2 linked regions of the Oreochromis niloticus genome follow. Each later gene encodes a partner of the first gene's protein in a complex. Links are inferred from orthologs where the notes say so. Each region holds a gene or a part of one and is shown on either strand. Other genes may lie near its edges.

Region 1 (16,171 bases):
TCTGAATATCGTTATTATATCAAGGTGAGGATATTTGCTGACATCTCATTCCTGCTCAACATATGCCAGCAGACACAGAATGACTGACAGGAAATGACACAGGAATGTTAGACAAAAGACTCTTCATACACGTCACAGGGTTTTCTCAACAAGGGAAAGTTTAGGAACAGAGCTCAAGTGTTTGTGGTGCACTTGAAGCCCAGTGACACAGTAGTTACTGGACGTGACAGCAGTTCTAGTCCAGCAGCAGCGTTCAGTAGGAGAAAAAAAGGAGTGTTTCTGAACATTACAGGATGTAAACCCCGCTTGGCAGGTTATACTAAACCTATGATTCAGGTTTTGAGAGAAAACGAAGCGGATCAATTTAAGAAAAGAAAAATTAGTCTGTGAAACACAGCACAAGCCTCATGCGTTGTTGGCATTCTGCCGTATCCACAGATTGTTAAAAAAGAGAGAATTTGCTCCCAAAGCTAAGAATAATCCACTGATGATCTCTTTGGTAAAAGGCTCAGGGTCATTTAAGGACCCAGCCACTATAATCAGCCACTAAAGTTCCTGTTTTACTTTTATCTACATTAAACATGTTACTACAAATCTAGATTACTGCTCTTCTCCAAATGTTGCTTTAGTTTTTAATAAGCCCTGCTTAGCTGCTTATCTGCATGCAGTGTGCTTAAATACAAGTTAAAAAGAGTATTTGTGTCCTGCATCCGTTTGACTAACACACGTATTGTCACAGCGTCCGCCCACTCTTTCTACCTGTCACCCAAGGATGCTGCATCATGACCTCAGCCACCTACAGACACACAGCGCTCAGTCTGTAATTCTCTACTTTGATTTAGATGTTTGCCGCTGCTCAACATCCTGTACGCCCCTGCACAAGTGCCGAGGTCCCATCTGAGAAGTGAAACAGAGAGCTGCACCATCTGTGAGAAATACTCCCCCCACCCCACCACCATGCCGCTGCACACATGTGACTGACTGCACAGCTTGTATGGCTGCAAACGGCTCCTAATTCACCAGGACTGTACATTAGACGAGCTGACCTCCTTTACAGTCCCTCACTTCAACTCTCATTCCTGTGTTTATCTTCAGGGAGGATCACAAAAACACACCCGATGACAACGTGATGCAGTGGTTAGCGCTGTCACCTCACAGAAACATATTGTGGGTTTGATTCTGTAGGCCGGGTGGTGCCTTTGTGTGGCATTTGCATGTTCTCCCTGCACCTGAATGTGTTCCCTCTGAGTACTCTCTACTCTGCTGCGGTTGTAGTAAGAGAATTTATGAAAGGACTATAATTAAAACTAACCGATTGTAGTCTGCACACAAAACTGTGCCTTGTGCACACAATGCACCCAAACGACAGGCACTTCTACACTGCAGCTGGAAGCCAACAAGCTGGTGAAAAAAAGACGGCATACAAATGGAAAGTTGATGCTGCAGGCAGATACGTTCACAGGTGGGAGGGTGAGAACACGTTTTCAAGGAACAGTTTCCAACACTGAATGCACAGAAGACATATGAGGGCAAAAATATTTATATCTTAACTAAATATTTCTCCGAGCCACCCGTCACTGAGACGGTGACACTCGGTTTGGGTCAGGGACATGAAACAAGTGGTTACGACGACATTTAGATGATCCTAGAGCATGTCGGCGGGACTGACGTGTGACGAGTCTCATTTCCCCATGTGGTCCTTAGTGAAACTGAGTCTGACACCCCCGTTTCATTTCATTTTTACTTTTTATTTGTCACGAACCACAAACAAGAACGCGGATCTCAGCAGATACGAGACACCTCGTACCAAATTTAGCTCCTAGCCAGTCTCTGGGCAGGTGAACCCAACGTTAAATAAACTAATATAAACAATATCGAAGTTAAAAGTACAAAGTTCATATAAAATTGGAAAAGTCACCCAGCCCCACCCCACTAACAACACACACACATTATACAATCTTTATGCACGCATGCACATCCACTTCAGTAACACTATGCCACCATTATACGGGATAAGCACAGCATAAAAATCCAAAGGACAATGATTTAACAAAAGACAAATAATGCTGGGTTTGATTACTGTTGCATGAGTGGATTTATTGGTTTACACTGTTCTCGCAAACTGCAGCAGGGGCCCCAAAACCAGTTAAGCCAGCCTTGCTATCTTAAAGGATAAAACCATGGATAAAGTAACTGTCAAAAAACCAGAGGAGATGGTGCAGCTTACAACACGCTGTCACAATTTTAACCGTCAGGCCTCAATGAGGCAGACAAACACAATGCAAGTCCATGCTTGCTCTACATACAGTTAACAAAACTGTAAGCCACTGAAGGCCCATGGAACATAAATCTCTGCCACATCATGATCTCACTGAGTGAGACTGATTTATTATCAGAACTGCTTTAACTGCACAGACTGATGTTTAAGCTGCTGTGGTTTCGTTCATTCCTTGTCATTTACAGGTGTACTGGCAGTTGAGAAACTGAGGAGATCAAAACAAGGCACCACTGAAACTACTCTGATTTACCAGACTTCAATCTTTAAACTGACCAGACAGTAGTCAGCATTCATTCAATGCTACAGAGACGTTTCAGTGTCTATTAGAAAGTAGTGAGCTTTAACTTGCAGCCCTGAGACAGAAAGAAAGAGTGTTTACCTCCAGGCTCCAGCAAAAGAGCATGTGTGTTCTTCTGAAAAGAAGCACTATTACAACATTCTGGGAAAAACACTGAAATAGCTGCTATTTGCTGATGCAACTTCCTGCTGATCTCTGCACAACTGCAACGCGTCCCAAATCCTCACAGTACTCCTTCTAGACAGCAGTTCGAGCCAAAACCACAACACGCTGAAATGATAAATCCACTTTGGTTCCACTAATTTAATCCTTACCGTATATACACCAAGTATAACTCCTGTTCTCAGTGTGGTGTTTACAGCAGCAAACTGACAAAGATAATGAGCTCCACTGACTAAGTGCTGTATGAATAGACTCGATTCTGCTGCGCTAATTCTAAACCTCTCTATTAGAGCACGTGTCTAAGTGCTACAGTATAAACAGTATTTGGGTTTAACAGTAACAGTAACTGGCGTTAGTCCTCTGATGGCTTTTATAATGCTTGTTTGAGTGTAAAGGTGTGTATTTCTTGTCCTGTCTTATGTACTACAGCAATGTGACCACGTTCACATCTTCCAGCTGTGTAAGTGGGGTATGCACACATTTTTACAGTAATCCGTAAGCAGACTGTAATTAAATTTTTCTTCTCTTTTCAAGTTATACAAATCAAACTCATGACAGAAGAAGGGATGCCTCTTCAGATGCTTGAAACAGGGAGTAAGTGATGTCACTTCCTGTAAGAAAAGTTGCTATTCCAGCATTAGCAACAGCTGCCTATACACCAAAGCAAACCATGACAAAGAAAAATAGCTCATCAAAGATGGAGTCTATAAAAGAGAGGCTGACAATTACCACAACAAAGCACATGTCGGTGTCAGCAAAGCGTTTCACTGATTCTATTTTCCCTCCACTGTTCTCATTTATAGTAAAGAGCTTGGTACTTATATTATGCTTATGCACTTGAGCTCCTTTAAGTGTGCGACTGTACATGATCTGTGTGGGTCAGAAAGAAGTGTTAGTCAGTCAGGGTTAATGGTACGATCCCCCACCTTTACTAGGATTCCTGCCAATGTAAGCAAGGTAACGCTGAGTTACGTCCAAACATAAATCCCACATTCACTGGAATTTCTATACAGTTCTTCTAATCTGGTCTATTTGACCCTATTAGCATAAGCTGTGACCTTTTATGGAAGATCAGAGTATGAAAAAACTATCTTCCCAACTAGTAAACAAACACTTTACCTCCTGAGCCATAAACTACAGACTTCAGCACATCTGTCATTTGAAACAAAGGTCTTCCATTCCTTACTCTGTGCCGGGGAGTTTCTTGTAACGTCTAAAGTTATGCAGTTACTTAAGAGGGTGTGATACTTCATTGGGTTGTATGGTGTTCACACACACACAGACACACACAAAGCATGCATGTGTCCATGTTCATCTGCTAGGAGTGACTCAGTAAATGCATTTTGAAAATCTGAGGAGTTTTTCATGCTTTTCCAAATTTCTGCCCAGACTGAACTTGTACAGTTATCATTACTGATAAAAGTCATGGACACAACAATTACAGAACACAGGACTCATGTTATGAAACAACAGAAATGCAGTAAGATAACAGGCTTATTTTGTATTTCCAATATGGATATATTATCTTACTTTATTTTTAACATCTAAAAAATGATATCAGTATTAAAACTGAAGGCAGTATCTTTAAAATGTCTTGTTTTGTTAAGTCTCAAATACCCATTAACAGAAGTAAACTGTTGGAAAAGCAGTAAAGTTTCTTTTGTGTGGCACTGGAATCTGCATACACTGCACATTTGTCCCCTCTTCCCTAAAAAATTACTATGATTAGTTTGCAAAGATAGTTTTTCTGTCTATCAGCCAGTCATTTAATCTAATGTCAGATTTACTTCACCTTTTATGCTGGCATTTGATTCCTGCAAATCTGTCCACCATACTGGGCTGTATTCAGTGGAGGAAATATTGCGTATCAGTATCTGCATGTTACTGCTGAACACAGCAGTGATTTGATCCCTACAAACTCATATTACATAAGCCAGCCAGCTGACACTGAGGTACAAGCAAATCTCCAAAGTTCCAGCACACCTCATACAGCTTTCCAAGGCAGGTAATGTATCACAACCTTCATTTATTAAACATAATCACCATCGTAACACAGGTCTTCACTAAGAGAAATGGCTGTGTCTTAAAGGTTCCTCCAGCACTGAGTCACAGCTGCCTTCCTCAAGCTTCCCCATGTGATATTAATATATTCGCTGTTCCCCAGTACTTTGGCTGCCCACCAGCTTTCAAGAAACCACGTTATGAGTATGTAAGATAGGCTTGGGGTGTGGATGTTTGTATACAGATGGGAATCAAAAGCAGCACTGGGCAGCTATCAAACTTCCAGTTCCTGCATAATAATAAGTATTGTGGGGGCAGACAGGGTGGAGCTTTTTCACCCAACCCACAGTGACTTGGAGAGAAGGATGTTCAGCTGGTACTTCGTCTAATATATTGATGAACTGTTTGTGCATGGACACAGGCTGCTGCGATCTTCCGTGCATTTTATTCCATTATTTCAGGCTCCTGAACGCTCTGCCGGTGGTCTCAATGTTGATGCTCAAACTACCCACGCGTGACAAAATGGAATCTATCAGCAGCACACAACTCAGTTTGCAACACAAAGTGAGGGCGTTGCAGGCACGCCTCCAGGGTGTCCTGATCACTCGGGCCAGACTTAAGACAACTATTTGAATGCCACAGAAATAATGTAAACGATGTGCAGCCCGTTCCCACACATCTACACAGTCACAGAGTGCTGCTGTAACGTCCTGTTTCTCCATCGACGTTTAAGACCACTGTCTGTCTTTGCTAAAGTGTGGACGAGTTACTGAACAAAACATGGAGAAATGTGGAAAAGCCCAAAATTAAGCACCAAAAATCCTTTGAAAGACAGAGCGGATGTTCCGCCGACTATCCGCTTGCAATAAAAGACACCAAAGAATGCGGCGACGAGCGCTGCCAAACTGCTGAAAAACTGGATTTAAGTGTTCAGTTACAGAGTTTTGGTGTGACTGAAAGGCGGCCGAACAAAGTTCGAGGTTTAACGCGTTAGTTAAACTGTGTAAAGACGTGTATGGTGCGGTGTATGCTAGTTTTCTCTAAAGATTGCCATCTTTGAAGCTGTTTGACAGCGTTCCTTTGAGAGCGATGTGATTATCTGATCCGAGCACGGACAGTGAAGTTTCCACAATGCTAATGGTGTCAGTAAAAAAACACACACACAAACACAAAGGACCACTGTCGCTGCTGTACTCACCCAAACTGTTGGTAGAGGAATCCATAATCCCAGTTTAAACGGTGTCTCCTGTTTCTAGAGGAGCAGCATGCACTAAGGTGTGTTTTCCATGCTGACAGCAGAGAATCACAGCCCACACTCTGGAGACTTCAGTCGATTGACAGGTCTAAGAATACCGGAAACGCGAAATTTTCCGCAACATAAAGCGTAATAGTTTATTAAACGCACGGGTGTGGGGGGTACTTATAAGTAAATCGAGCTTAAATATAAAATATAGTTCGAAATTACTTTATATAAAATGAAAAACTAAAAAACAATCACACCACAGACTGAAAACCGCTTCCGGAAGTGTAGCCCCTCGTTATAGCTAACTTGACACTATTGGCGGGAAGGCACCAGGTACGGCTAAAGGTGCTGCCAGATATTCGCCTCAGTCATAGTGATTCAGTAAAGAGGATTTCACAGTGTCCGCATACCAGAACATTTCACAGAACTCTTACAGCAGCTTCTTATGGCTGCAGCTCTGCAGTCATCATCTGACAGCTAGAAGACGAGCATTTGTTTCCATCTCGTGGTGGCGCTGTGCACTACAAGCCCTGAAACCTGTGCCAGAAAGTGATCGCCTGCATTCAAACGGCTATAAATAACTTGTTGGCCTATAAGAAATGAAACGTATATCACATGCATCCCTCATGAATGATATCCAGTCGTCTTCACCACACACAATATTCCTGTCACAAGGTAGAAGCTTCAATTAGTTTTTGGTAAAGTGACTTTATATATCCTTTATTGATCCAGTTAGAAAGCGTAATTGACGTTAAAAATGTCCTTTTGTAACAGTGATCTGACGTCATAAAGATACCCGCAAGACAGGTGATTTATTTATTTTATATAAAACGCCTTATTACGGAAGCGTAGACCTGCCATCCAGGCAAAAAATAGAGCTATATCACGTTGTAACGTGAAAATTTTTATTGTTCTAATAATATACTTGTTTGTACAATATAGCATCATGTAAGTACAATATAATTTTCGCGTTTGAACAACATAATATCACGTTATTACAATATACATAATTACCACGTTCGTACAATATAATATTTATTGACAGATAAATATTTATTTATTGTAAGAACGTGAAAGGTTTTTTTTGTTATAACGTGATAATTCTGTATATTCTAAAAACGTGATATTATGTTGTTCAAACGCGAAAATTATATTGTACAAACATGAAAGGTATATTGTTAGAACAATAAAGTTTTCACGTTATAACGTGATATAGCTGTATTTTTCTTTTGCCTGGGTGGCAGCTCTACGCGTCCCTTCCCTTATAACTAAAATCTCTTTTAGTTTTTAGTTGTGATTTTATTTGTTTTTGTTTTTGTTGTTGTTTTGTTGTTTTCCTTATATAGCGATTCTATAAATGCAACGTTGTGTCACCGTGAGTGTATCTGAATTCAAGGGAATTTTAATACTCCATTGTCAGCCAACATAAGCTCGACAATGGCTGCAAAGTGGTGACTCTTGCCTTAAGAAATATCTCCTGAATTAGACTAAACTGACAAGAACACGACAATGATTTTTTTTTTTTTTAAATTTAGTTAGCGTTCTCTTTTCTTACTTTTGTTTAATAGTTTGAAGAATCATAGCTACAACGCGGATAATAGCATTGATTAAATAATAATTTTCCTGCATTTCAATGGAGAATATTTACTGCGCTTATTTGCGGTTTTACGGAACAATCATTTCTGTCACTGTTTCCGTTGTTTGGGGGAAGGAAACGCGTGTCGGACCGGAATGCTGTACTGGCCTTTCAACATGGTAGCGTACATTGACAGCGCTTTCTGAAGGAGACTCTAGTCTTGTCCGATTGTCGGCATTAATGGTCAGTATTAACTTGGTTATACATTTTGGGGTAATAATAATAACTATCCTTACTACAACGTTTGAGCAGCTGACGAACTAAACTTCACAAAAATGTGAAATGTAAAGTTTTATTGTTCTGTACAAATATTTACAGCTGGATGAGGTTCACCGAAGAGTGAATGTGTGAGCTTCACGTCCGTGCGCACTTCTGTTCTCTAACACTCGCTATGATGGCTCGACTATGAAGGGCAGCCGCTGCCTGCATCAGCTCAAGTCTCTGCGGCTGCTCAGCCACGCAGGGAGGCTGCTGCCTCCTGCTGCTGGAGACAACGGCGCTCTATTCCGGCCACGCTCCTCGAGTCAGCTCGGCGGCTTGCAGTGCGCACAGCGCGAGGTGAGCTTTAGCAGCGACCAGACTTAAGCTCTTAAACCACACTGATATAACCGCAGAGAAAGGCAGCTGGCAGTCGACTCTTTGTTTGTTGTTAATCAATAAATAATCTAATCAGATCATATGAATGAATTTTTATATGCGTTCATAACTAAAACATGTTGCTTTTAGGTGTTGAGACATTTCCACAGCAGCCCAGCGTGCACCAAGGGTCAGCCTGCACGGTTCGTTCAGGAGGAGGACAAGACGAGGGACAAATCTCTGGTCACCCACGATGACCTGTTTGAGCAGGTTGCCAAAGAAGCCAAAACCAAGGCCACATTTAACAAAGTGATAGACGTCTACACCAAGGGAGACATAAGGCGTCGAGGTCATGTGGAGTTTATCTATGCTGCTCTGAAGAAGATGCCAGAATTCGGGGTGGAAAAAGACCTCACTGTCTACAACAAGCTGCTGGATGTTTTTCCTAAAGAGGTATTCGTGCCGCGAAACTTCATCCAGAGAATGTTCAACCACTATCCCCGTCAGCAGGAGTGTGGAGTGCAGGTCCTGGAGCAGATGGAGAATTATGGTGGGTGTCTATAGTTTTGTGGTAGTTGCTGAGAATCTTGAGGTATTCTTTACACTGTTTTTGTGTCTAAGTGTCAGTGTCTGTGCTTCAGGTATCATGCCCAACATTGAGACCAAAGTGCTGCTGGTCCAGATCTTTGGAGAAAAGACCCACCCTATGAGAAAGTACCAGCGTATCATGTACTGGTTCCCCAAGTTCAAGCACGTAAACCCCTTTCCTATTCCTGAGCAACTGCCTGAAGACCCAGTAGACCTGGCACGCTTCAGCCTCACTCGCATGGCAAACGACTGGGATGCAAAAGTGACCGTCTACCAGGTATACGTGTGGGTTAGCCTAGCTTAGCATGAAGGCTGGAAACAGTCTTTGACTTTTGTCATCAGATGTAAATCTTGTATTTACCAAACTCTTTGTGTGTGTGCTCTCCTCACAAGCTGCCCTGTACAGACGTCACAGAGAGCGGCGCTGAAGTCACACTTCCACATATAGTAGGTATGGATGACTTGAGAAACTACATTCTGTGTTTTAGTCAGAAATATATTGCTAATAAATACTAATAGAGGCATAATTTCCATATTTGTTGTTTGTTTCTGTCTTTCCTGTGTTTGCACCAGGCATCCAGAGCCCCGGCCAGATGGAAGCGCTCGCTAAGCACAACCCTGACAGACCCGTGTTTGTGGAGGGCCCCTTCCCTCTGTGGATGAGAAAAACGTGTGTTTACTACTACGTCCTCAGAGCTGACCCTACCCCACCTGAAGAGAAGGTGGGCGAACATTACTGTTATCCATTACAAAGTGGGTAGTGGATAATAAATGCTGTGTGATGATCATATAACAGTGTGTTTGAATTCTAATGATTGTGGGTTATAGCTCAGAAAAGTCACACCCAGAATCTCAGATTCTAGAATATTTCCTAAGATCAATTAAAAACAGGATTTATAATACAGAAATGTCCAGCTTGGTGTGTTCATTAATACACTCAGATATTAGGAATGCAGCAGTTGTAGCTGCTTTCCTGTAGACATCTGTGCATGCTGGTGTTTGGGGAACTGACACCACCCTCACTCCACTGCCTGTGAAGCTCTCCCCGGTTCTTCGGCTGGCTGTCATCTGCAAACAGCCGGCCTTTTCAGCAGTGACCGCCTGTGTGTTCCCCTCATTGTAGACTCTGATGAATATAGAATATGTGAATTAAATTACAAAAACATTCCTCCTCCCTCCCCCCAGATAGAAGAGCCCTATGACCCAGAGAGGTGTTTGAGCTATCCTCTGCAGCTAGACCTGGATTTGGATCGCGACCTGGGGGACGATGAGAGCTTCGATGTGGAAGACTGTAAGATATGGCATCACTGCTGTTGACCACAACCCCTCACTTCCAGGGTGTAACATAGATGATCTGTGTCTGTGTGTCTATCCAGTGGATGAAGGTCCAGTCTTTGCCATGTGCATGACCAGTCAGGGGGACCAGGCTACCCTCAATCAGTGGATCTCTGGCCTCCAAGAGAGTAACCCCATCCTAGGTCAGATCCCCACGCTGTTCCGACTGGGCGCTGGACCCCGGGAGCTGCAAGGGGTGGGCGACGCCGACTCGGCCAGTCGATCCTGGTTTCCTTCACACGTCCAAAGAGAAGAAGCACACCCTGGGGAGGAAGCTGAGGCTGTAGTGGAAGAAGCTGAGGCTGTAGTGGAAGAAGCTGAGGCTGTAGTGGAAGAGGAGCCCAGGAGAAGCCAGGGTGTGAAGCAGTGAACAGGAGAAAGTTTCCTCCTGACTCCCTCCCAACCAGCTGGGAGGTTTTTGTAAATTCTTTTTAGCATATTTAATAAAGCCATACAAAATGATTGCAAACGTATTTATTCAGTCACAAATGTTTGACTCCCTTAAAATACAGCAGACTATCTGGGGAAGTACTAAGTACTAACTCCGTATGTGTTCAGATGAAGTCATTATAGCTGTGCAAATAAACAATGATGAAGTCAAGTTGTCACAGTAAATGTTGACTTCCATTTACGTTTGGACTCTCTTTAACCATTGACTGTTTTTCACTACTATTGAAGCTCTTGCTGTTTTTGGTTTTTGACGTCCGTACTTGATTTTGGTTTACTTGGTTTTTGCTGTAATGACAACAGCTCGCCACGCAGACTTCAGTGAGCTCACGCTGTCAGGACTGTTTGGCTTTTTCAGTCGTCATGACGTTGGGGTTGAGGTCAGACTGTGGAGGAAACTTTGTAGACTCGTCTCATCGTCTGTGGTCTTTCAGCAGTGGAGTGTCTGGTAGGGTTTCTCTAAAACCATTTTTGATTGTAGTTTTGTTAATTAGCAAAATGTGTGTTTGTGAAACTGTTATTCCATCTCTTAGTAAAAAAAGCTCCTGATGAGGTGCATCATCATGCTCTGCATCCATGCATTGCCTTAATGCAGTGCATTGGCAAGTTTGCACTGCTCACACAAAGGTCACCCACAGCTGCCATCGCAGGCCCAGGGTGCAGCCACACTGGTGCTTCGTCCAGGCTCCATCAAATGCAACTTCAATGGATTCAATAAAAATGATATGGTCAATGTACAAAGCAGGAATTTTGTGCTTTTTAATGTGAAATTCTTAATATCTCTGATGATAATGCCACACAACTGCACTGGAGAAAACAGAGTTTAACAAAAAAGACAAAGGATTCGAATGAACAGTAGAAAAAGTTTATTACTGAAAAGGCATTTAAACATTCCCTTTTAAACTGGCAGACAATCACGTCTGATTTTCATGAGTGATCTGGTCACCACAAGCTCTTTCCACTGCCTTGTGGCTCCACAGACAGTGTTCAGCTCCTCAGCTTTGTGCTCAAATACAAGAATATTTCAGTGTTGTAGTCTTCATGAAAATCATAGAAAAATCATTGAAAAGCATTCCAGAGCACTTCATCCATTTACTACTTAAGTAGGAAAGCCTTGGATTGATAACATTCACAAATGAAATACTTTTCTAACATGGAACTTTCTACAGATATGAATAATGCATCATCAACGATCACTTGCGTAAGAGGAGATTCAATAAATAACAAGGCTGCTCCAAATATTGTGGAACGGCACAGAAAAAGTCACATTTGGCATGTCATAACCAGCTTTATATTAGTCTATTTACAGTGCTGCAGGAGATTTTTGCAGAGGTGACAAACTGTCCCTAAGAAAGTTGTCTGGGTAAAAAACGTTGCCCGTAGAGCAGGGGTCCCCATTCCCAGTCCACGAGGGCAAGTGTCCCTGCAGGTTTTAGATGTGTCCTTGATCCATCACAGCTGATTTAAATGGATAAATTACCTCCTCAACATGTCTTGAAGTCCTCCAGATGCCTGGTAATGAACTAATCTTGTGATTCAGGTGTGTTGACCCAGGGTGAGATCTAAAACCTGCAGGACACCGGCCCTCGTGGACTGGGATTGGGGACCCCTGCCGTAGAGAAACAGGTCAGGGTGTGATGCAGTAGCAAATAGAAAAGAATTGCAGCTCAGTTCCAGATGCCCCATTCAGTGATTGAGAAACTATCAAGAATCTAGAGCAGACTAACCTGAATACAAGCCTGCAGGAAAATCTGCACACTAGCAGATTCTATCAGCTTCCAAATAGTAGAAAATGTTGTGCTGATGCTGTTTTTTCTATAGCTGACTAATCCCAGGGTTAAATATTAACTTAATTTATAATTAACTATAAATGTCACATTGACAAAAGCCATGGATGTTATCCCACGGCTGCTTATCAGTGAACAGGTAGTGTGTCTCTGCACAAGCCTGCTAACTGCCGTCTACGAGTTAAAAGCAAGACTGACATTAGAAAGAAGGATGACCCCGTCCTCCAATACAAACGTATTCAGCAGTAATGTTCCTCAGTCCCGTGCATTCAGCCCCAGTTTGTGCTCTCAGCAGCTCAGCCAGCAGGTTCCACCTTCCAGGAGTTTTCAGGAACTTTACACAATCAATATTTTTCTTTATATTTGGTGCTAAAACACTTCCCACTATGGAATTCACAGCCTGGCCACTGGTGCTAATTTTATGACTGAGCTTCTGAGCTACTCATTCAGCAAGTCTTTTACCCCCATACTACCTATTATCCCGTTTTTCCTTGGAATACCTATAGTGTCTTCCCAGGATGCTGAAATGTTTATCCCTGCAGAAAACCCAACAAGGCAGAAGAGAGCAGTAAGGAATGTACAAACTGGCTATGAGTATGCTCCAGCTGGAAAACACAGGTTATATTTTATTATGGTGCCCACAGAGGTCATGTGATCAAAGAAAATGTTTGTGCAAGTCTGTGATTGGATCAATAAATTAAGAACAGAAAGCTCAGTGGCCTAATAAACAGATCCAGAATCCCATTAGCTTAGCCTTCCCAGAGTGAAGATTTCCAAAATGTAGTTTCCTTTATATAGTAATGTTTCACTCCAACACTCATCTGAAGGTGCTGTATTGTAAAAAGCAAAAATATTATGGAGAAGTGCAATGATCCCCCATGAGCAGCAAGAGTGGGGAGGAAGAACTCCTTTTGAACAGGAGGAACGTTCTGGGAGAAGCAGGAGCAACCGTTTGCTGCAACTGATTGGGGGTGAGAGAAAAAAAGGAGCACAGCGAGACCACGAACAGGACAAGGGAAGGACTGACAGCAAAACTTGGATGAGGCAGCTTCAGTATAAAAATGTCCTCACTGCCTTTGATAAACATACACAACCCTGGCAGGAAATGAGGTAAAGCTGCTTTAGGGCCTTCTTGTCCAAGGTGTCTTCCTACAGAGGTAAACACACTGATAAAAAAAATACAATAAATGAGAGAAAGGAGGAGGGAGGGTTTGTGTCTCCCGGTCCATGGTCTTCAGTTCCTCCTGCAGCCGTCTCTCCAGCTCTTCAGTTCTTGTGTGGTTCTGCAAAAGAAGTCAGACAGCGTTGTTTCACTGATCGGTGCAGTCAGGTGAGTTTGCACTGTCAACTATTGTATATAACTGCTGAGCCAGCATTGCTACCATTACATTATATGAATATATGAGGCGATTAAAGGATATACCTCATTGGGGATCAGTCGTACAGATGAGGCTAACAGATGCTCTTTTGCAGCTACTTTTAACTCTGCTCTGTTACAAAGTCAGGTGACTTCTTGTGGTTGTGTGAATAAGTCTGAAATGTCTGTTTGACTCGTCACTTTTCCAACACCCTTGCAAACACGGCTTAACTACGTGATCCGAGCACATACTGTACCTGCCACAGGTCTGCTGTGCTGCTGCAGCTGGCTGCTGAAGAAGCGTTCCCGCCGGGACACCTGCTCATCCCAGGCCTCCCGTATTTGCTCTTTCTCGCCGGGTTCCAAGGTCAGGGTGTGCGGGTGGGCCTCGTCAATGTGGGCCTTCACTCCCTCTAGGCTGTGGGAATATTGCAGTTCCCCACACACCATGCACACCAGCAGCTGGTTGAGTGGGTCATAGTCCATGAGGTAGCGGCTCCTCCACACAGCATCGGAAACAGAATCCTCCTCACTTTCAGCAAACAGCAGCTCTGACTCATCTGAGAAGGCAGTTAGAGAAGAGTTTGTTTTTGGTTACTTTCACTATTTTATGTGCATTCCTTCAAGTTCAAAGTGACATACTTTACCTTCGATTGGCGCTGTGTAATCCGAGTATGTAAAGGATGCCGAGTCCACTGAAGAGCTGTGAAGGGAGATTTTTGTGTGTTATCCTGAATGTTGATGATGCTGATGTCAAAAGAAAGCGAGCAAAAGAAATCTCTCACCTCATTAGATGTTCTGACTCCTCAGAAGAGTTCACCCACTGACCAGGTTCCTATAGATATTAGGCAAAGAGTGAAAAACTAAAGCACAGGCCACGCGCAGTGTTTTTACGTGCTTTTATGAGCTCCCTGAAACAAGGTGAACCTAGACACAAGTCAGACTGGAGAGATGCTTAAGCAGAGTTCCTGTAGTGGTGTTTGTGGTGGTTTTGTCACTTTGACATTATTTTGTGTATTTTTGTAGTTTCTTTCTGGTGCTTTTGTGTCTTTAGGTCATCTGATTTACTTACAAACAAAGGCTTTGGTAAAGAAGCTGGGGGCACGAGTAGACCATTTAGTGATCCATTCATTTTCCACTAGAGTACTAAAGTACTACTCTGTTTCTGTGTCACTGAGAGATCATTCATAGGAATGATGGTATCAGGCTTGTGATAGAAAACCTGCGTTAAAGTCTGACCGATGTTTTTAACCCTCATTTATGTGGGGAACATACTTGATGCTGCTGAAAGGACCCTCTTCAATTTTTAAATTAATTAATTATAAGTGTGAGAATTTTAAAATCTACTGGGAACCAATGTGATGAGAAAGATACTGGTGGTGGACAGTGGTACCCCTCACCCTCCTGGTAGATACAACTATGGTATGATTTTCAGAAAACGTCACCTCTGATGTCTGACGTTCAGGTTGAAGTCATGAGATTTGAACTCACTGAAGATTTTTAGCAGATACACCTATCATATCAATTTGAAAGTTCTATGTCGTTTTGTTCTCGAGGCTGTGTTACGAGTCTGACTGCAGCATTTTGTAATTGTTTGGAGGCATGACAAAGATGATTTGTCATAAATAACAAAGATGACAAAGATGATTTGTCTAAACTGGTAAAAGGGCGTTACAACAGGTGCAATGACACAAACGAACAATTTGCTCTAGTTCAAAGAACGAGGCTCGTATTTTAAAAATGTTCCTTAAAAGAAAGTAAAAGGAACGTGAGTACATTTTATATGTAAGTCAAAGTTCAGCGAGGAATCAAATACTACACCGAGATTACGAACGCTGGTCTTTGAAGATGAGCAAAAGAAATCAATCACGTGACTGAATCTTAAATGTATTTCAAGTGGAGCTGTAATCATGGCCTCAGTCTTGTCGGAATTTAAAACAAGACACTTATTGGAGTCCCAGTCACTACTCCGGGATAAACAGCCAACCAGGGTGGGCAGCCTATTTGGCTGGTGAGGCTTAAAAGATGGCATAAAAAGGATAAGAAAAAAAGACTGAATGATAAAAGGAAAATATCAGTGGACCCAGGATTGAACCTTGTGGAACCCCACGGGTTAATCAAGCAGTGTACGAGGAGAACTCGCACACCCTAACCAAGAAGGTCCTTCCAGATAAATAAGAAGAAAACCAGTCTGGTGCCGAACCACAAATGCCAGCTAAACCTTGAGCATATTAAGTATAATATAATGGTCAGTAGTATGTAATATGAATAAAATAATCATTACATGCCTGTAAGCTAAAAAAACAAGCTGTTTATGTAACTGTGCAACTCTCACCTCTGTCTGTAGATCCAGGGGAGGCAGCCTAGTCTTCCAGCTGTTGAAGCTTTGGGTGATTCCCTTGTCCCGAACTGCCTTCCTGGCTCTCTGCTCCTTCTTTTTTATCCTCCAGTACTCCCGCTTCC
Region 2 (15,481 bases), on another chromosome or scaffold:
TCTAAGTGTAAAATTGACACTTGGTTTTTTTACTGTGTGCATTTTGTATTTACTTGAGTTATATTTGTCTAGCCCTAAAATTTGTTTCATGATCTGAAACATGTAAGTATGTCATGTTTTTAGAAATCCAGCCTAGGTTGGCCAATGTTAATAAAACTGGGGTAAATTAGAAATAGTCTGATTACAGGGGGTTCTCCTGCCTCAAAATGGGAATAAATATGCAAACAAGTAAAGTTAGTACACATTTATTTAAGGCAATGAGTCCGTGTCACCTTACTTTAAACGGTTGATGCATTTTCCTGTTACTTGGAGCCATTTAATTAGTAAACATAGATTTTATGGTTGAGTAAAAATTTGATATTTTACCTCCACAACCGTTCCAGTTTCTAAACTTAGGAAAATTAATTGCCCACCTCTGGTGTACAGTAGTATCTATAGTGTATAGATGTAATGATATCATCAGATACTAGAATGTGGTTACCACCAAAAGCTGGCAGTCATTAGCCCCAACACCCAGAATCAGTCAGGCTTATTAAAGTCATTTAAAGCCTTATGGCAACACCAAATTGTGTAATTTACATTTTGAAATTCTACACTCAAGTTTACATTCATCGTATATGAAATGCAAAAGCATGAGGCTGATTTTCCAGACAAACAGCAACATCAAGCAACACCTAACTTTAGTTTTTACCCATTCAAGTAAAGCAGTTACAAAACTGTCATACTGCTAAAAAAAAATGGTTTACTTTTTTAAAAAAAAGGCACTGTGTTATTGGTAACACTTGAGCCTTACACAAACCCATGCTTTAACTTCATTCGTCTATCTGTGCCACAATTGATCCCTCATAAATGTCCTTGTGTTTTCATATACAGTACTTTGTTACTGTAATAAAGGGGAAAAAAGCAGCTCTGTCACCTTAAGCAGGTACTTATCACTGCAGTATTAAATAACTGCAAAAAAACAAACAAACAAAAACACAGCACTACAATGAGGAGCAAAATTTTAAGTGTACTGCAAAGAAAAAAAAAAAAACATTAAAAGTTTGTTTTCTCCATACATTAACAACATAAGTAATCACCAAGCCTACTTATTATTAGCTTGCCTATGCTGCTCTATAAAGCATTTACGTATCTTTCTTTAATAAGTAGTATTCACATGTCATAAATGACAAAAAAAAAAAAATCATCTCAAGGTAGATTTCTTCAGATCTTAGTGAGTAAAAAGCGCACACAGTGCTCTGCATTATCTGAAAGACTGTATAAACACAACAAGACAAACATTAAAAAAAAAAAAAACGATGTAGTCCTGAGTGGATGAATACATCATATTGCTGCAGGTCTATTATAGACACATATTACCAGCACCTTGCATTAACAAGTCTGTAAAGATAACAGGCGAGTTCATCATTATTAAAGTGATTTAATTGTAATAAAATCTTTAATTGGTATTTTGTTATGGCGCCCAGTTAAATGCTTCAGGAAACATACACCCATAGAAAAACAGCAGCGAAAGTGTTCTTGGAATTAAAAGGAGTATATGATCTCTTGCTTGAGCCTAGATTTGGGTGACGGTTCTTTTTTTTTTATGACTTTTATCTTTATTAAATGCCAACATTTTGTGGAATGGATTTATGTGTACGTCAGTAATGAGGGTCACAGTCTTCCACCATGCTGTCTGTGATGTAGTTGACTTTTAGCACCTCCTGGTAATACTCCTTCTCTACTTGTGTGTTGACGGTCCAGGCTACAACGTCGACACCCCTCTGGGCCCAGTACTGCACATAGTCCCTGCAGACAGGACACACAATCGGTGAGTGATGTTCCTCTGGTCTGAATGACCCGATAAAAACCTTTTAAGGATGAGTACAAAGCAATGACAACTTTTTTGGTATAACGTAAAAAAATGATGATCCACAACAATAAACCCCAGCATGGAATAAGACAGTTAGCAGCGCCATTAAAATGCACCTCTAACACATCTGCACTCTAATGAAGTCATTGCTGCATATATAGAATATAAGACTGTATGTTCCAGCTACAAAACTCACTGTGAGACAAAGTTCTTCTGTATCAGGAACGCCGAAACGCCACAGAGCTTCCACAAAACATGATGGTGTGCCCAGTCCAACAAGATGTCCATGAGAGTCATCCAGTGGTGTTTCCACAGCGATGAGAAACGCGGGGCACCGTCCCCGAACCGGCTCAGGCTCCAAGGCCGGTGGGTCAGTGCTGTGACCACGTCTGGGTCACTCTGTCTCATCTGGACACAAAGTGTTGGTGAACATTAAAACAGCAGCTACAATAGAAACATATATGTGGGAGAGATAAGCATGCTGTTTTGTTATAGAGCAATTTGTGTATTTTTTTCCCCCTCTTTCTGAGTCAGCACTATTTATTAGAATACCGTTTTAGTCCAGTATGGATTGTGAACCAAATAACTGCATGTTAACTCTTAGACTGTGCAAAAATAAGTACAATTAAAACTGTAAACTACTTTGAGCCACATGTCAGCTGATGTCAGGTCATCTTAGCGTTCACTTTAGTTGGTAACAAGTGAATGAAAATGGGAACCAAGAGCTCAGGCACTAAGAGCTGTGTGCTCATACTGTTTAATTAGTCTTGTAATCCATCACCTAAATGTGTCTAAGAGGTGCAAAGTGTAACACACAGATATCCGCTTATCCTACTCAGGGTTGCGGAGGGCCTGGAGCCTGTAACAGCTGCCATAGGGCCTGAGGTGGAGCACACCCTGGACAGGTCTCCAGCCTGTGGCAGTGCTAACACAGAGGCAAAAGCATTCATACTTACATCCACACCTACGGCCAGTTTAGAATCAGCAATTAACGCAACCCACCAACTATGATAGGAAGCCAGAGTACTCAAAGAGAACCCACAGAGACATGGGGAGAAAATGCAAACTCCACACAGAAAGGCCCAGGCCAAATGCTTGATTTGGACCCAGGACCTTCATACTATGAGGCAACAGTGTTAACCACGTTGCCAACGTGCTGCAAGTTTAAAAAAAATCTTCTGAAAGTGGTCAGGGTTCATAATCATGCATAGAGAACTTTGAACTTCTAGTTTATAGTAGAAGTTAATTAATGTAGGATAAATAAGATAAGCTGACCCACACAAACATGTTTCTACATTTCTTCTGTTGTTTTTTTGTTTCACTGTGTGCAGCCGAACTGTCTGAACTTTGTGCATCTTTACTTTTTGTACTTTTTAAGGGTGTGTAATTGCAGCTAAGCACTCCCTTGAAATTACCCCTTTGGGGACAAACGGTGCTACGTGACCTGAAAGTCACCAGAAACTCTTCATGTCTGTAATTTGATTCTTCATACTACATATTAGTTTACCTCGGTGTATTTTCTTCTAAATTGTAATTTTCCTCTAGTTGGACGAGATCATATAAAGAAAACCACAGAGAAAAATCCCTCCTGAAAAATAGTGTGTTTACTGACATGAACTAAGCTTTAAACTCTACAGATATGAGCCGTCTTACCCTGTAGATGACTTTGGGCTCGAAGGAGCAGACGATGCTGCTGTTGTAGAGGACCGGATGTTTCTTATACAATTCTTTTAGAGCTGCGGCTGCCTGAGTAGGAAGAAGAAACAAATGGTTATCGTAGGTCATTCAGCTGTTTGCAGATTTAATGTTTTTGCTTGTGGGTGTTCCTCTCCGACCACTAGGTGGTAATTAGCAGCTGTGTATGCACAGGCACGCGGACCAGCAAATCAGAAACGTCACTATGCGAACCTCCAACCACAACTGCAGCTTTCCCTTCCTTAAAAACGTGCAAATGCTGCACTTAAGGAGTTGAGTAACTAACCTAACTTTAAGCTAAGAGACTGCTGCCCTTGGCTCAGTTTTTATGTTGCCAACACAAACAAAGTTACATTTAGTTGTTAAAGAGCAAACAAACAAGGAACGTCTAACAGCACGCAGAATGTTACCACACAAACAAAACATTACTTATCAGTGGTGCTGTCCTCAATCTGTGAGAAGCTGTGTGTGTGCGCGTCCGTGTGCGTTTTAGAGGTTTGTAATTTGTTTGAGTACAGACAAACCTGGAACATGTGTTCTGGACATCTCTAAGTGCATCAGTGTTTGACCTAGTAGTGTTTCTCCTCTCTGGATATTCCCAGTATGACTCTGGCTTGCCACAACTAATTTTAATGATTAGATTTGTGTAACTAATGGAGTGGTGACATGTATTATAGGGCCATTCTATTGGTAATGAATAAAAAAGTAGAAATAATGAAGTGGTGGACTTGTGATCATTTTGTATCAAGCCATCAATTAAAATCAACACACATGATGCAATCTCTCAGTTTTGTTGGCCTGGTTTACCTCATCTGGATGACCTTTGACATCAAAGTAGATGGTTAGCTGCAGTTTGATGCATTCCTCCACTGCCTCCTCCAGGGTGGGGATCTTCTCTCCTGCAAACTTGTCCCTGGTGGAAATAAAACAAGTAAGACTCGTTTTAACTGGATTTCTTTTTATATTGTGCCAGTGATCTTTCATACGTCTCACTACACAGTTTGCCCAAGTCACTGTTATACTTGTTCACTCTCATCTAGCATAATTTTCCGGTTCTCCGCCATTTACCTGCTCCGATATTTCCCTGGGCTATATTTTTTGTTTGTTTTGAGAAATGTGTGTGCAACAGAAATGTATGTATGTGAGTTTAGAAGATCCTTGTTTACGTGTGTGTTTTGTTGATGTTTTTAATGTGTATTGAATGTTTTGTGTTTTGGAGATGGAGTGGGTCATCGATTTGGAAAGTCAGATATTTGATCCTTGGCACATCCAATCTAAATGCTGTCCTCAGGCAAAATACAGTGTTTATCTAACACAGTACAATCAAACTGTCATAGAGAAAGTATTATTTGAACATGTGTGTAAATTGGGTTTGTGTAAATCGAGAAGCAAAAACCTATTAACTTCTTGTTAAGAGTCTGAAATTATTAGTTTAAAACTGTTGTACATAAGCACGAATTATTCAGACGAGTAACCACTTTGCCAAGGTCTTGACGAAGACACACACAGTCAATCTTAGATGAGAGAAAATAACCCAGGAATCACTGAGGCTCAAACCAGCATAGATTGAGAGGGTGCTGGCTAAGAAAGAAGACACTGCTCCAAAACTGACACCTTGACTGCCACCGTGGCTGACTAAGAAAGAAGACACTGCTCCAAAACTGACACCTTGGTCAGCCACTAATCAGAAGGTCGGTGGTTCGATCCCAGGCTGCCTCCTGGCTGCATGCCAAATATCCTTGGGCTAACCCCATGTTTGCTTACTGGTGGTGGTCAGAGGGCCCGGTGGCGCCAGTGTCCGGCAGCCTCGCCTCTGTCAGTGCGCCCCAGGGCAGCTGTGGCTACAATGTAGCTTGCCATTGCCAGTGTGTGAATGGGTGAATGACTGAATGTAGTGTAAAGTGCTTTGGGGTCCTTAGGGACTGAGTAAAGCGCTATACAAATGCAGGCCATTTTGACTGCAATTTGCAGCTGTCCACATGGATAAACCAAAAGCCTTCAAAACAAAAGTTTTATGGTCTGATTAGACAAAGATTGAGCTCTTTGGTCACAATGCCAAACATGCCAAGAGACGTGTTTGTAGGAGTGACGGAGAAGCTTTCAAATCTATGAACACTGTACTAACTGCCAAGCATGGTGGTAGTAGCATCATGCTCTGGGGGTGTTTTGCTGTCGGTGGTTCAGTGCACAAATTGGTTGGAATAGTGAGCATTGTTAATATGGAAGTCTAGTGTAGTATATAATCTTTATATTGCTGTGTTATTGTAAAGTCATATAAGTTAAAGTAAAAAAAATAAAAAAAAATGCATATGCCCCCCAGTGACTAATATATTACTTTAAATGTTGGATATGATCCAGTAGAAACTGAAGTATTTTCTTATTTGTGTGACCCTGACCTTTGACCTTGAAGCATTACATACTAGAATATGTGTATTTTGTTATCTTTACCCATATGATTGGAGCAGAACTGGCTGAAATCTTTGGCATTGATAAGCTGTAACAACTTTAAGATAAGATATAATCATCCAGTGTGTGATTTTGCAAAACTTTATGCCGTCATTGTGACATCATATGGCATCATATTGGAAAAAAAAAAAAAAAAAGTGTGTTGTACAGCTCTCTCCATGCGCAGTGAAGGCCAAGGTGAAATGCTTGACCACCTAGGTACTCATTTCCAACAATGCCTAGTATATTGCTATAAAGTTTAAAGACAAATTATAATTTGTGGATAACAAAGTTTTTACTGAATTTCACATTTGATGTAACCTTGACCCAATGTTCACTAAAATAAAAATCAGCTCAAATTGATCAAAATAAAATTTAAAATGAAATCTTGTGTTGTGGCTTCTGTGTATGCTAGACCGCTAACAAACAGACAAACTGAGCAGATTACATACATCCTCCCTTCGAGGGGGAAATTACCTTATTTCAGTGGATGTTTAAACCTGCTAGTATATTAGTGTGCAAGAACCTGTATCACATTAAAGCACCTCACTACCGTGTGCTTTGTTTGTGCCTTCCTGACTATATGCTTCTTTCTTACCTGAGTCGATGTTTAGCAGCTGCATCCAGTTTAGCCAGCTCTGACATTTTCATCTTGCTGAGGAATCCTGACCCACTGGTGGTCCGGTCCACGGTCTCATCATGCATCAGTATTGGGACGCCATCTGCTGAGAACTCCAGGTCCAATTCCACACCAGTCGCCCCATTCTTACTGGCCTTCAACAGAACAGACAATTTTCAGCATTGGATGTTTTTTCAGATGGAGTTGGTGGTCACAAATCTGCCCTAAAATCCACTTAGAAAAACAAACTTTGCAGCTTAATTTTCAACTACTGTACGACAAAAGTAGACATAATGGCCACGATCCATTTGAAGAAAATTTTACTTGACTAGCAAACTGATTATATCTGTACTCTGTGTTGACCTATAAATGGGGGTATATTGCAGTTACGAAATGCTGTTTGAAAGGGAACACCACTGCAACAAAGTCTGTACACTAAAAAGCACTAGCAGGTGTATTTTTGAGGTGTAATTTCTGGCTCAGCACACTCGCACCTCATATACACCTGATATAAGCATGTGGTCTGTATTTGATATCTTTATTTGTATAAATTAAAACCAATACATGGGACTACGCATATCCAGATGGTATTAGATTAATTATTACTCACATCTCTTTACTTTATCTCAACATGCAGATTAGTTAAACGAGGCTGGCTAGTTGGGAACTGGCTGATAACATTGTGATAGAAGGTGCTGCTGGAACAGTGGTGGCCTTAAAATGCATGTTCTCTGTGCTGATAAGTTATCCAGATACAAACTGGGTGTGAATACCAGAAGTTAAAGACATCGCAGTAGTTCCCCTTGCAACCACTGCCATAAAAAAAGAAACAAAAAAGGGCATATGAAGGATTATCGCTCCAAAACCCTCCCCACCTCATTCTCTCACCTCTCGGATAGATGCTATCGTGTTCTCCGGTGCATCGTGCCCGCCGCCCCGGTGAGCGACCACCGACACCTTGCCGGTGCCCGCCGTGCCCTTGACTGGGTGGAGCACCTTCTGGGTTCGGCTGGATGGTACCTGTGGGAAGCGGAACATGGCTAGAAAGAGGTAGAGAGAGGCGGTGAGGACCACTGTCCACACCGGGCTTCGGGTCCCCAGCAGGATCCCCACGAAGATAAGGGAGTACAGGGTCGCTTCATCTCCCAGCTGGACCATCGTTGTCCTGTCTTTGTCTTCTCCACCTGTCCCACAGCAGAAAATAGCACCTGGCAGGAAATGTTCCGCATTTAAGGTGTGGGACGTTTACTGTCCTAATTTTAGTTTCTTTAAACGACCTAAATGAGATAAGAACATGTTTTGCCCGGCGATAAAACACTCATTACCAAGAGACAGTCCCCTGTCCGCGACTTAAAGGGAACTGCTGATTTACGCTTCCCGTTCCGCATTTAAGCTAACACCCCCAAAATGAATTAGATTTATTCAAAATTATAATAAAATTGTAATTATTATTCTCACTGAGCTGTTACAGAGCGATCATTGACAGCTTTCTCACAGGATGTCTCGGAACAAAAAAAAGAAATAATTAAACATACATTAACATAAAAACGAGACGTTAAAGGTGAGCACATCCGGGTCACACCGCATAACTGCTTCCTGTTAGCGCTCGTTCAAGTCATGTCATTTCGTGATCCATCTTTCTTGTTTCTGCGTTTTTCTTTCATTTAGCTGGTCTCTGATCATGGTAAGCCTCGTTTTATATGCAAGCTCTTATCCAGCATTGACTGTTATTATCAGTAAGATTAATTTTTAGCCACACAAGGTCATTAGTGCTGTGGCAGGGCTGTGTGTTTTCTACAGTCATTGGTGACAGCTCAGTCAGGACATGTGCACCTTCAGGTTCTTTTATTCCACACAGCGGCTACACAACAGCTGCTGTACATGTACTGCAAGTGTTCGTCTGGGTATACCTCTTGTATTTTTTTAAGCAACTGCATAATATTATATTTTGTATATTACTGCAATAGCAACGTACAGTGCACAAAATAAGTGAAGTAGAGAGTACAGGAAGGCTGAGATGAGGGTCTGGGGTGATTTATGGCAGCAAGAGTGAAGGGGAAGGTTTGCAAGATGGTAGTGATGCTATGATGTATGGTTTGGACATGATGGCACTGGCAAAAAGATCGGAGGTGGAAGAGTTGTAAGAGCTTCATAGGGAGAGATCAGAATGGACAAAATTAGGAATGAGCGCATCAGAGGGAAAGGTCAGGTTCAACAGTTTAGAGGCAAAGTTAGAGAAGCAAAGCTGAGATGGTTTGGACATGTGCAGAGGAGGGATAATGGATATATTGGATAAAAGATGTTGAAGATGGAGTTGCCAGGCAGAAGCAAAAAAGAGGATATTTAGATATGACCGAGGATATACCAGGGTGAGGTGGAGGCAAATTATCTGCTGTGGTGACCTAAATGAGCCAAAAAAGTGCTTCCCTCATATTTTACCACCTGGCTTGATGAAGAGCTAAACCTGATCTTTTACAGTATTGGTTTCCAGATGGTATGCCTAGAGGCAAGTCCTCATTTGCTAATGTGGTAACAAGCAATCTATTTTCCTTCTGTGAGAAACTTTACCTACTGTCAAAGAGCTCAACCGTGTCTGTTAAACTAAATGGATGCAAGTTATATGCGAGTGGAGCTTATTTCCAGCCATAGAGCTGGAGCGGACGGGTTTGTGAACTGGTGTGCAGAGTACCACCTGCACAAAGTGGAGGATTCTATATCAGCTGGAGATGAGACCCCTATTACTATACATGTCCATGCCATTAGACGGGTTATGTGGTACAAATACTTACAGGTATACATTGATAATGCACTTGCTTAGAACACACATGTGGAAAATGTGTATGAGAATCCATCAATGTCTTCATTTTCTCCAGACTCCATTTATTTATTTATTTATTTATTTATTTATTTATTTATTAAATAAGGCCATTGTAGAGTTACATTATGCCATCAGTAGTTGTTTTGGAACAGGTCTTTATCTGATCCCCCACATGTGTTGTTCTCTGAGATTGTATTGATGAACCCTGGTAGGAAATACTGACAGAGAATAACATGTCATATTGAATTTATCTGTTTGATGTTATTTATTTTTCTACAGATCAGGTCGCTTCTTCGGTGCAGATTAACTCCCCACGTCCTGTCCTTCACCAGAGGATCAAGTCTGTTCGCAGCTCGAACACCTTACAGTTTGCAGCCTTGTTCACCAAGTCTCAGGCCAATTCAGCAGCGCCTACATGGACCTGTTATCCCTAAAATCACAGCCCTTGTTAATTACTCGGATGTGTCCACACAGAAGTACACTATGATTTACACCCTGCCATACATTAAGCTCCTTCGAGCTGTGTCCAGGCTCAAACTCCTCCAAACTGCAATAACTGTGGTCCTCTTGCCCCCGGTGTACGTCCTCTACTTCCAGGGAGCTGCCTCCGCCTTTCTTGTCGGCTACACGACAGGGATAGCTCTGTTTGCTGGTGTTATGCTGTATACTGCCAGTTACTTCTTCAGAAGGGTGGTGGGAATGATGTATCTGGATCCATCTCAGACCACGCTCAAAGTGTCCCACCTCACTTTCTGGGGAAAGCGCCATGATATGTACCTGCCAGTGTCAGATGTCATGACCATTGGAGACACAGGGGACTCCGTAAATGAGACCATACTGAAATTTAAGAGATACAGCAGTGCGGAGACTCTGTATTTCTCAACTCATTTTGGACGTGTGGTGGATGAACAGGCTTTTAAAAAAGTGTTTGGAAGTTTTTAAAATGATTATTTGTTTAAAAGAAAATGTGGAGTATTCTGAATAGTATTATCAAAATATAACATGTTAAGAGATGCATCTATTGTCCATGAACAATATTCTAAATGAAAACACATTATACAGCTTGCTGTTATATTTTATATCTAAGATATTTTAGCTGACATAGATCTGAATCATCCACAGTTGATAAATTACTGGTTTATTATTATTTTTCTTTTTTTATCTTAATTAAGGTTGAGAAGTAAGATTGCAGATTTAAAAAAAAAAAAAAAAAATCTGGACCCTAACCCTAACCCTGTGGTAGGTTAACAGTTGTCTACTAAATGGTGACTATGTATGCAGCTGAAATAAAAAAATCAAGTGAGATTGGCCTAACATTGTCCGAATATTCATGTTGCATCATTAGACCATGATAGGATAGCTCCACGGGTCACATGTCCTTCTTGCTGCAAGCTCCAAAGAAGTTGTCTCCTCCTGATATTGATTTTTTTTGTGTGTGTTAGGTTAAAGTGTAAACCTTAAAACTGTTATTATGTAAAATGCATTTTTCAACATTGTTTTTGATTGGGCTAGGGTTAGGGCATCCTGGCTGTAGAAACGGGGAATTATTCATACATTTTGCCTCAGGTTTGGTTCAAAGAAATGTCACTTTGGGAACAGTTTCTCTTGCTGAGTTTTTAGAACCTGCGAGTTTTCAGTTCTATCTTGGTTAAGATGTTTTCTGACATCTAGAAATAGAAGTAGAGCAGGTTAACTACCAGCTGGTGATTTGATCCAGGTTTCTTGGCTCATATCAAAGTGATTTGCAAATATGAAGGAGTGTGTATCATAGATAATAAGCTTTTATAAATGTTTTTTGAGTTCTCAGTAACAGTAGAAAAGCACTGCATAAACATTATTCCATTTACATTTACAATATCTCAAATATTGGCCCTGGAAATACTGCCACATATGACCACAGCTTCATAAAGCTTTTTATTTATTTACTCTTTCAAAAAAACAAGAAAACAAAAAACATATGACTCCACATGTCTCATTAAAAAAAGTGTTTCACTATGTTACTATGGACCTGGACTGATTTTAGTTTGTCTAGAAGTGGTACTGTGACAAAAATAAAACGATCATGAGATTTGCAAATCATTTGGATAACGATTGTATTCATAATATTAGAACAGAGCAAAAGAGAGGCACGGCTTTGTCCTGGAAAGTACAGGTGAATGTGACGATGGATGCAAAACACGACGTGTTTCACAAAAGGACTAAATGTAAACAAAGTAAATGGATATTGGTGAAAAGCAGACCACTCTGGTTCAGTCTCAGGGTGAAATGAAATGACAAAAATGCAATTCTTTAAAATCGCTGACTTCAGAAAAGTTTGGAGAAGTGTGTCTCGTGCTTGCAAGAATTCAAGATCTTTAATGAAAACTGAAATAATGCATATGCTGAATTCATTTCTCATTGTGTAAGGGGGAAACAAATTTCCAAAAGCGGTCTAAAAACTCATGGTGTGTGCAAAATGAATTGTTTGAACTTTAGGGATCTCTTTGCATCAAAAACCTTCAAAACTCCAAAAACATTCCCGTCAGTTTGACCGTGACAATTGAGCTCAAAGCTTAGTTACTGCTTAACGAAGGCTTCTTGTGCACCTGATACACAGTTAATGAACGCTCCACAAAAGCTGTTAAGTGTGTAGAGATCGTTTTGACAACAGGTGTTTCAGGTAAAAAAAAAAAAGAACATTAAAATTTGTGTCCACTTCAAATCCAAATGTCTTCACTTACACTCATGTGTAAGAACTTTCTGAGCCTAAAACTCTGCATAGATGTTTCCACTGAATTCTACACATCAGCAGCAATCCTATCAACTCCAGAGAAACACTCGCAATACGTAATTTATAAGCACTCACTCAGTTTAATCTGAGTCATCAGTATGTGCCTCTGGGGGATTGTTGGCTTTCTCTTGCTCTTTTGCACGTTTTTTTCCCACTTCCTTTATGTTTTGAGTTGCAGAACACGATTTGAAATTGATCCATACAAAATATTGGTGAATTTAAACATAGCACATGCAAATGCTGAAGAAACTTTATATTAGGAAGAAAAAAATCTTTAAACTTTTAAATTGACCAATAAAAAGTCAAAGAACAGAATTAATTCACAAAATATTTTAATGTTGAGTTGCTTCAGAAAGAATTCAAACAGATTTTTCTTGTTTTGTCTTTGCACACCTTACTGTGTTTATCTTTAAATGTATACAATAAAAACCCCACCATAACAAAGTGGAAACATGTTTTTAGAATCTATTGCATATTTACAGTCCTCCCTGACCAAGGTCCTCTCTTGGTTGGTTACTTTGCCTCAAGTGTTCAACTCTCATAAGAGTCCTTGACACTAAAACTGTTCAAAAACATTTTAATAACATAACAGAAGAGTATGCATTTAATATTTCTACATCCATAAAGTGTCGCTTAACTCAAAGTGCATGCATCATAAAATAGCTTTTCAAAGAACTGCATCACTGCAAAAGCTTTTTCACCGCCATAAGCTGTTTCAGAAGTAGAAAGACAGTGGAACACAGAGTGGGATTCATAGGGGAAAACTCTTGGCACATATTCAAACATTATCTAGTTTCTGATTAACTGTTTGGCACTTTCTGATAGTACCGGTCAAACTAAGGAAGATGAAGTTTGGCTGGATCTAACAGTGTCCATGACTCTTCTTCAGCAGATCAAGATGTGTCAGAGATCACATAAAGTACCAGGCAGTAAATCCAGCGAGGACAGCCATCCAGGCAGCCAGAACCACCTGGCAGGGCGGATGTCTGAGAAGTGTCATGGCTAACTGGCACGCATGCGTAGGATTTCCACTAACAGCTGTTCAGAGGAGACATGAAGATGAGAATACAGAAAAAAGGAGGGAAAAAAAACAGGACAATTGAATTAGGTACTTCATGTAACTTTGTAGCTATGAATGATGGTCTGACACTTTCCACTCAGACATCCCACAGTTATAAGGATCCCCTTTTAACTGAAGTCCATGATGACACTGTCCAATCTTTTAAAGGCAAATCTATAAACTATTATTAAACTGAGCACCAAGTTTTTAACTTTCTATCTGCAGAATGAAATGCTAGAAACAAATGTCATAAATACAGTAAAGGGGATGCATTTCTTACCCATTTTAGCTGCATAATACGGGCACTTGTTGATATCCTCACCCTCCATCATCTCTGCATGACTGTGTCCAAACCCTGCATCTTGGACCTCCTCTTTGATAGTTTTTCCAAGCTCTTCAAGTTCTGTGAATACCTTTTTTTAAATAATAAAATTAGATTTTTATTACCTTTAAATTTCTCTTTCAAACAATGCACCTTTTTGCAAATTGCTGTACATTGTATAATTCCTATAAGCAGTTTCCTCACCATCATGTTAAAGCCAAAAGCCCGATTAGATTCTTCCACAATCCTGTCTTTGGTCTCAGCATCCAGTTCCAGCTCATTCATCCTGCTTCGGTAAAGCTGCTTGAAGCCTTTGTGACTGTGGATTCCCTCAAACTGGTAGAAATTGAGACCTTCTCCTGTTGAGGGGAGCTTTAAAGCCCTCTGTGCCACTTTCTTAAGGATCTGTCCACCTGAGAGATCACCCATGTAGCGGGTGTAGGAGTGGGCCACTAACAACACCGGGTCCTTCTCCCCCACCTCATGGATGCGGTCCACATAAGGCTTGGTGCCTGCAGAGAGGCTGATCTGAAGAGAGAACACAACTGTGAAAGTCCAGTTGATACAAACCTTGTCTGGAGAAGATTTTTCTGTGTTAAATTTGATTAAATACAGCTTTTGGGATGATGATACCTGTATAATCATGACTTAAGTGCCAGAAAAGACCAGCCTCCTCTGTGACTGACATATATATCCTCCATATGCTTCCTACTGACCTGGTTTTCCCAGTCTTCTCCATAGAAATACTCAAGGTCCCGGGCCAGGGCCTCACGCCGGTGCAGCTCTGCGGGGAAATATATTGGAGCGATATGATGATGGTCTTTGTTCTTCTCAATCTCCTCCTCCATAGCCGAGTAGACAAAATATAGAGCTGCTGTGCCTCTCTGACAGCAGAGGGAGGAAAGAGGGGAGAATAAGTGGGTCAGAGTCAGACATAAAATGTTTCATCTAGCAGAAACTGTTAGACATAATATACAGTTAAATGGTGAAATATGATTTTATTTGATAAACTGATGTTCCAGACAGCTCACATTTTGCCAGTTTCTTTGGCAGCATTTTTCTGATCGTGCCTTAGAACCAAGGCAAAGCATAGATCAAGACTTTATCACACTGACAATACTAAATGTAGGCCTATGCCTCTAAGCACTTTCGATATACAGGGTCAAACTGAAGACCTTTGTGTGACGCTCTCCTGTATACAGTAGTTCATTACTTTCACTGGTTCACAGACACTTTAGCTGCCTTAATTCTTGCCTTTATATAGTGAATAATCAAACCTTAAACAGCTCTCTTTTAATGCGTCCCCTGAGGAAATCTTTGACAAACTGGCAGTTCTCTGCTCTGTCGTGGGCCTCCTTGGTCCCCTCGGCCAACAGCTCAGACAGGTCTGTTGGACTTGGTGAAGCAGAAAAGGACAGGAAGGGCGACACAAAAGAACACTTAGCCGTTTATCTGAATGACAAAATAGCAGCAAAGATAAACTGCTGCTTATTTAGTTTGTTTTCTTCATACCTGAGAACTTCATCATCATCGTCATCATCCAAAGCAATCATTGACCTTCCTTTGTTGGCACTGTTGGGCTCTGGTGGGAGTTCGCTTTCCATTATACTGGTTATATTTTGGCCTTAATAAGAAAAGGCAGAGATTTAAAGAAAAATGTACAGGACAAACAAATACGAAAAAAAGCAGGAAATAAAAGAAAAGATTTAAATCATCAAAATAAACAACTTGTCACCAGTTAAAATTATTTATTTAAAGTAAAAAATATATATGCTTATGTAGCCTAAATACGGTTACGGTTAAACAGCCTGTTTACACGGTTACAATATCGCTTTCTAACGTGACAGCAAAAGCAGTTTGTGTCCTTTAATGCACCACATTTCCCTGTTAGCTGAACAAG

The links.
Region 2: ecsit (region 1) and tmem186 share a complex: the UniProt entries of both Homo sapiens proteins name them as parts of the mitochondrial complex. The link is inferred for Oreochromis niloticus from reciprocal best matches to the Homo sapiens genes ECSIT and TMEM186.

Annotation. Positions count from the first base shown.
Region 1 is NC_031967.2:3,203,630-3,219,800, forward strand, and holds ecsit (evolutionarily conserved signaling intermediate in Toll pathway, mitochondrial), read left to right. Parts: upstream 1-7,646; 5' UTR 7,647-7,801; intron 7,802-7,936; 5' UTR 7,937-8,023; coding exon 8,024-8,176; intron 8,177-8,344; coding exon 8,345-8,744; intron 8,745-8,835; coding exon 8,836-9,059; intron 9,060-9,175; coding exon 9,176-9,233; intron 9,234-9,355; coding exon 9,356-9,504; intron 9,505-9,967; coding exon 9,968-10,073; intron 10,074-10,158; coding exon 10,159-10,487; 3' UTR 10,488-11,012; intron 11,013-11,097; 3' UTR 11,098-11,301; downstream 11,302-16,171. Other genes in the region: eml3 (echinoderm microtubule-associated protein-like 3), read right to left, coding at 5,938-5,962; uncharacterized protein si:dkey-28a3.2, read right to left, coding at 13,618-13,634, 13,966-14,268, 14,356-14,411, 14,494-14,543, 16,044-16,171.
Region 2 is NC_031971.2:30,536,983-30,552,463, reverse strand, and holds tmem186 (transmembrane protein 186), read left to right. Parts: upstream 1-8,220; 5' UTR 8,221-8,292; coding exon 8,293-8,295; intron 8,296-9,708; coding exon 9,709-10,371; 3' UTR 10,372-11,293; downstream 11,294-15,481. Other genes in the region: gde1 (glycerophosphodiester phosphodiesterase 1), read right to left, coding at 1,641-1,788, 2,049-2,260, 3,506-3,598, 4,355-4,460, 6,591-6,766, 7,500-7,769; hmox2a (heme oxygenase 2a), read right to left, coding at 13,110-13,237, 13,540-13,672, 13,786-14,109, 14,298-14,465, 14,859-14,976, 15,094-15,185. UniProt on the Homo sapiens protein: As part of the MCIA complex, required for efficient assembly of the mitochondrial complex I.